Linked DNA regions of Solanum lycopersicum. The protein of the gene in region 2 interacts with the protein of the main gene of each other region in a biochemical or structural test. Links are inferred from orthologs where the notes say so. Each region holds a gene or a part of one and is shown on either strand. Other genes may lie near its edges.

The links.
Region 1: the proteins of EIN2 (region 2) and ETR1 form a complex in vitro, tested with the Arabidopsis thaliana proteins (2 studies listed by BioGRID). The link is inferred for Solanum lycopersicum from reciprocal best matches to the Arabidopsis thaliana genes EIN2 and ETR1.

What each region holds. Positions count from the first base shown.
Region 1 is NC_090811.1:4,583,469-4,587,297, reverse strand, and holds part of ETR1 (ethylene receptor 1), read right to left. Parts: coding exon 3,538-3,829; intron 3,396-3,537; coding exon 3,129-3,395; intron 2,999-3,128; coding exon 2,871-2,998; intron 2,728-2,870; coding exon 2,530-2,727; intron 573-2,529; coding exon 218-572; 3' UTR 1-217. UniProt on the Arabidopsis thaliana protein: Ethylene receptor related to bacterial two-component regulators. Acts as a redundant negative regulator of ethylene signaling.
Region 2 is NC_090808.1:1,899,728-1,902,939, reverse strand, and holds the end of EIN2 (ethylene-insensitive protein 2), read right to left. Parts: coding exon 1,883-3,212; intron 1,423-1,882; coding exon 1,024-1,422; 3' UTR 766-1,023; downstream 1-765. UniProt on the Arabidopsis thaliana protein: Central factor in signaling pathways regulated by ethylene (ET) and involved in various processes including development, plant defense, senescence, nucleotide sugar flux, and tropisms.

The DNA.
Region 1 (3,829 bases), on a different chromosome or scaffold from region 2:
AAAGTTCCATGGAATATGAACACTTCTGGTAGTGGAAAAATCAACTCCTTTCTACAAATTTGTTGAATGCCTCGAGCAACGTCGCGTTACATACACCTTCTTCAAGTGATATATTGTGTTATCCACCAAGAAATCCAAAGACGAGAACTATATACAACGCCTCGTGCATTTGGGTGAATTTTTCATATGGTTGCTGCATATTTTCCTCCTACATTCACTAAGATTCAAGTACAACTCCATGTTCTAAGAGCTCAGATAAAACACTTCTCATTTTATACACTGACACAGGTTTTAGGATAACTCCATCCATACCAACTCTCATGCAGTTTTCTTTCGTAACTCTGTCTGTGTTCCCCGTTAATGCCACAATAAGTGGCCTACCGTGACGTTTCCCAAACCTTTCATGTATCACTACAGCAACTTCGTAACAGTCTATACCTTGCATGCTGACATCCATGATAACTACCTTGTGTTCATGTGTAACAACTCTCAAGCACTCATCGCGTGAGCCAACAGTAGTTACATCACATCCAAGGTGTGTAAGCAGACCTTTGGTTACCATCCTGCTAACACTGCATGAAGGAGTATAAGAAACAAAAACAATTCTGATAACTAATGTCAACTAATCATATAATCAGGTAGGATAAATAATAAAAATAATAATAATGAGGTCACATCAAAAAGAGAAAAGCAACGATCACAGAGTCGTAGGATTACCAATCATACAAATTCTTATCCGACAATAAAACAACTGCGTTCAATTTATAATACCTCAGGTTAAAGATATCAATAGCGGTGTGGAAGGCAGGGGTGCGGTGGGACGATAAAAGGATAAGAGAAAAGGGAATCTGTTACTGTTATATATATATATATATATATATATATATATATATATATACTAAGGCGAACCAGATTGACTGACATTTTTAATTCGATGCATACATAGCAAAGACTTGTATTAAGACATCTATGAAGTCACTCTTTCCTCCATCCTCTTATTTCTGGAAGAGCAGTATACCCTTTTATTGGATTTGAAAGCACTACTTCCAGTTGGTCACTTCCTTCTTCCAATTAGAGATAATGATGTGAGCTCCTACAGTCAGGCTGGTCATCTCTCCTTCCCTCTTCGCGATCCTGATACCGTAAATGCTAAACTTTTCCTTCTTTTCATTAGAAAAAAGGCATATACTCTGATAAAGATGTGAGCTCCTAGGGTCAGGCTGGTGATCTCTCCTTCCCTTCTCGCGATCCTGACACTGTAAATCCTTAACTTTTCCTTCTTTTCATTAGAAAAAGCAGCTAACCCAACGGTGGCCCCCTAAAGTTGGCATTAACTTTCACTTAGACACCTGAACTAGACTTTGTTCATTTTAGACACCTCATGTGAGGCCCTGATGCGTCATTTAGCACTTTTTTTACATTCAACAAAAATATGATGGTGAGTGTGTTCCACTCGCGGATGATGTGTAAAGTGTCAAATTAAATGAGGACACTTGTCGTTCTCTTCAAAATAATAAACTATCTATTATTTTTTTAGAAAAATTGGCTAATGGATCGATGACACGTGGCATTTCTTCCCAAATAATATTAAAAAGGATTAAATCACCTTAAAAAATCTTTAGGAGAAGCATATCCCACCCCAACCCCACCCCATTCATGGTCTTCTCACTGCACACACCCCTTCAGTGAACTTGTGTAACTCAAATTTTTTCAAATAATTGCAGCTCCGCAAATTTTATTGCTAAAAGAAAATTCTACAGATTTTATTGCTTAAAAAAGAAAAAATCTAAGATCCAATGAACTTCTAAAAATACAAATGTGTACGTGTTCATATCACATTATTAAGTTTCTTTTAAGGAGATTATCTCATTTTTTAATGATTTTTTATTCTTCCCCAAATTTCTTTTTTTTTCTTCAAATTTCAGTCTTTTTCCCTCAAATTAAATTGAGGAAGAAGGGCATCATCCTTGGGAAATCTTGGAGAAAGCTCTGACATTTGAAATTAGATTCCTCGTTTGTGGCATCATCGAATATATCTCACCATGGAAGAAGTTCAAACTTGAGAAAATGGTGGTTGAAAAAATGGGGAAGAAGAAGGAAATATAAAATAAAAATTGGCTGAAAAAGAGTCTGACGCGCTGTTAATGAGTGAGTCACACTCACTATGCCATATCAGCAAAAAGCAAAAAGTGTTAAATGATACATCAGAGCCTCACATGAGATGTCAAAAATGAACAAAGTCTAGTTCAGGTGTCTAAGTGAAAGTTGATGCCAACTTTAGGGGGCCACCGATGGGTTAGCCCTAGAAAAAGGCATATACTCCTAAGTACATGTCACCAGCACATCCACATATAGTTGTAAAGATTCTAATTTCAGTACTCTCTTATTAAGTATTTACTTGTTCAGTCTCATGTAAAAGTGAGTAAGACAGCTCAATACATATAAGATGAGAAACTCACGAACTAGATGGATCATTAAACAGCATGGCAAGACAAGAGCTGAGGATAAAGGGGTCCAGATAGTACTCACCCATTCTCATCCATCACCAAAACCTTTAATCCTTGAAAACTCATCTGCGTGTGATTTGCTGGCAATTTGGTCACAAAGGGGAGCTTAGATTCATTTGCACGTCCAGGAATGCCAAGTTTAATGATAAATATAGCAGTAGACCCCTTGCCAAGACCTTCACTTTCAATCCAAATATGTCCTTCCATAAGATTCACAAACCTGTTTTGTGTCCCATCAGAAGATGTGTCAATACTAAATACAGTAAGAGGAAAGAAATTGAATATGAAGCAGTTACCAAGTTCACGTAGCAAAATGAAAATCAGAGTCGGAAAAAGAACACTAAGGAACTGGGTACCCCGTACCTCTTACAAATTGCAAGACCAAGCCCAGTGCCACCAGAATTTGTAGTTGCTAGCGCTTGGCTTTGTGTAAACTTGCTAAACAGGTTGGGAATATCCTGTGGTGTAATTCCTATCCCCGTATCTTTTATCTACAGAAAGTATTACTTAGAATATTACAAATATCAAGAACAGAACATCTGACAGTTATAAGTCTAAAATATCATATTTGTGACTATCCTTAACCTACGAAGATAGTATATCAAGCTTGTAAAAATATACCTGCACCCGTAAATAGAAGTGATTTTCACTAGGCACAGCAAAAAATTCAGGGGCTCTAGGATCTCTTAAAGAGTCTGATTTTGCAACAAAAGCGGAGATTGATACGTTGCCTTCCTTTGAGAACTTTACAGCATTGCCAACAACGTTTAAGAGAATTTGCATTAACCGTTTTTCATCCCCAATTACATATTCCGGCAAATCTGACGACAAACTAAGTGTGACGAACAGCTTTTTCACAGATGCAATAGGCTTGATTAAGCTATGGACCTACAGGAATAAGCAGACACATATATCAGTCAGCAGGTCCAGCAAACATATTGAAGTGCAAAATATCTGTAATGACACTTTTTTTCCTGACAGGTAATCTAGAATTTGCAAGTAAAAAAGAAAAGAGGGTGATGAAGGGCACCTCTCTAAATAAAGCATGGAGATTGAAAGTGCCAATATCAAGTTGAAGACTTCCATCCTCTAGCCTTGAAAGATCCAAGACATCGTTGATGAGCGTTGCTAAAAGGTTGCTGCTTTTGAGGATTGTTTCAACCATCAGACGTTGCTCTGGAGTTAGATCAGTTTCTTGTAGTAAGGAAGAAAGTGCAATTATTGCATGCATGGGAGTTCTCATTTCATGATTCATAACAGCCAAGAAATCATTACGTGCACGAACAGCCATTTCTGCTTCTCTTCTTGCCAGATCAAGAGCC
Region 2 (3,212 bases):
TAGTACTATTTTTTCAAAATAGATTATTTATATATGTTTACAAAAAATTAATAATTAAATTTTTATTGAACCTATAACGATGACAATAATTTCAACTAAAGATAAGGATAAAGAGTTTTTTTATTGGAATATGGTTGTCCTCTTCTAGCCATTCACATTCATCCTTTTTGATCTTTATACTCCTTTTATTGCAATTAGGTCACAAATCTAAAAAAAAACAAAAAATTAATCACAAAAAGTTATTTACATATTTTGAGAACACAAAGTTTCTCATATTATGTCACAAAAAATTAATCACACAAAAGTTATTTACATATTTTGAGAACACAAAGTTTCTCATATTATGTCGAGAGAAGTATTATTCTCCTCTAACAACCAATAATGAGTTGCGATGGAATCACTAAGAATCTTTAGTTAAATAAAATGTGACGAGCTCAAACCCTAAGTAAGAAAAACACCTATTACGTAGCACTTTCCCCTCTTGCGCGATAAAGTGCAAACTACAACACAACACATACCCCGTGTAGTCCCACATAATGAGTTTGAAACGTTTAACTTACGCTTACCTCGGAACTAGAGGACCAAGTGGTTTCTTATGCCTACCTCAGAGCTTAGAGGACGAGGTGGTTTCTGATAGACCCTCGGATCAAGGAAAGTAGTAATATAACAACAACCTTTTGATATTAAAAGTAATTCAGAGGTAGAGGTTGTTTCCATTGGTTCAAGATGGCACTATGGAAACAAAAAGCAAGAAAACTGCATATCTTGTAATAACATCTTTTCCCGCCTTTTAGCCCGTTTCATTTCACCATTGCAGTTTTACAGTAACCTCGTTACAACATTTTATCCTATGTATACAGATTGAGGTACAAGGGATGGGGGTGAATAAGCTGCAAAGATTCAAAATACACATGAGGTGCAAGGGAGGTATAGTTGGGGAGGGGGGGATAATTCACAGAAACTAAGAACAAGTCTAACAATGGTGATCTCACCAGTCATTTGCTATGAACTGAGAAAAGAGCGTTACAAGACGAAAGGGGGTGATGAGGCAGACAGCGTTACTTTGCGCGGTCCGGCGACTCCAGCCACCTCCTGGTTTCCTACCGGCTTATTGGATAATCGACGTTTATAGCGCTTGAGGACGGATGCCAGGTTCTCTTTTCCTTTAGGAAAGGCTACATCCCCTGCTGCAGTGCCCGTTCGTCCCTTTCGACAGGAAATTGCTGTCTCCACGTCTTTGATCATCTCTAAGAGCATTGCTGCAGTCGTGCATTTTCCTCGACCCTGTTTTGCTTGTGGCGGCAAGTTTCCATTAGAAATTGGAGGGGGGCTTGCCTTTTGCTGGCGGCCAGCCGGAATTTGAAGACAAAAACAATGGCTCGTCGGAGAATGGGGCTTTGAAAATGCCAGATCTACTATGCCCTGAAGTTGGTAAATGATTCATCAGATGAATAATAAATCTCACACTACGGTTGACACATTGCCATTTCTTGAGCATCAAGACCAACTCAACTATTACTCTTTCCCGCTGTTCCGAGAAAGGAAAATTTCAAACAAATGACCCCTAGCTTACGGTTTTGTGGCGTCTTTGATGCTTTTAGCACTTGTTTAGCCACCTTAAAATGGAAGGACCAGGATAGTCACTACAATATCTTTTTTGGCACGCTACAAGGTCCAACAATGAATCTAACACAAATGCGGTTTATTTAAACCTTAAATGATGTGATATAAGCTTTAAAGAGGGTTTTCATGAAGGATTGTGTGGTAACACCAAAAAGCATGCTTCATTTCTCCAATGCTCAAAAAAAAATTATTGAAAGAAACATAGAACTTCAAGAATTCTGTGAATGAAGAAAAAGATAGATAGGATATGAGGCTTTACCTGAAGACGGTTGAGAACATAGGTATATTTGCCCCACAACTCTGGCCTACTTTCCATAAGTGAAAGCTCAAGAATTCTGTGAATGCACCACACACCGAAGCTTATAATCAGATCTACTTTCCAAACACAACCTTCTCCGCAGTGGGGAACTGACATCACCAAGAACTTGGTGTAATCCATCTCTTCAGGTTTTGGGGCAGAACCGGGTTTCCTGTTGGAAGAGAAGTGTGATTCACCAATGTTGGTCAATCTACTTATCTCCCTAGTTTCAGCTTCATAGAGAAATTTCTCTCTTGCAGCAATCCGACCTATAAGATCCTCATCAGCCCCATCATCTTGCCTAAATAACCACTCAGATCCTTCCAGTTTCAAAAGTTTCACAATACAACTTCTGAAAGACTGAAGCAGCTTAGCTTCCAAGTCAACCGTAGATGTACTCTCTTGAGCAGAGGAACTCAGCACAGTTCCATGATCGCCGCTACCAACATCTGGCTTACCAGCTACACCAAATTGCTCAAAAGGCTGTCTAGACCACAGGGATCCATTCCCTGAATTGGAGCTGTACTGCAAGGAGAATGCATCTCTGCAGACTTTAGGAGAATGTTCATACCTCTGAGGACCACCTGCCCTTAGTGAACCACTCATATAGGCTTGTTCGTATGTAGATCGACCACCAGATTGTCCGAATCCCATGGAATTGTACCATTGAGCTCTCGCATCTGACACTATAGAATCTTGGCGAGGAACATAGCGCCCTGAGATATCAGGCAAGCTGTAGTACTTCTTAGAGTTGGCTGAACCAGCCACGCTTTCAGCAGTTTCAGTAGAGCTATGGTCGACAGAAGTAGTGTTAGTGGGCTGCATCGAATTATTTCGGCCTACAGGGACATTTCCAAAACCAGGTGGTGCTCGACTACTGACTCCACTCTGAGGTTTTTGCCCCGAAACACGAGCCAATGGTTCTGCATAGTTTGACGTCAGTGATGATACAGAACGAGGAGATGGTGACTCCAGTTGCCCATTTAAATAATCAGATCCTCTTTCTTTCGCAAGTTGATTAAGGTAAGCAGTAATCTGATATCCATGCACAGTGGCAGGCTGCTGATCATAGCCAGCAGAAGTCGCTGGAATCCGCATACTAGAATAGCGCCTCTCCCCTGAGTCAAGCATGTTGCTGTTGGAACTTTGCACATATGCACCTACTAATTTCATATGGTTAGACCACATAGAAGATGTCGAAGATGGCTCCTTTGGGACTCTATAAGCAGAGTCCACAATGTTAGACGCAAATTGCTGCTTGGGAGAGTACACATGCGAGTTGATCAGAGGC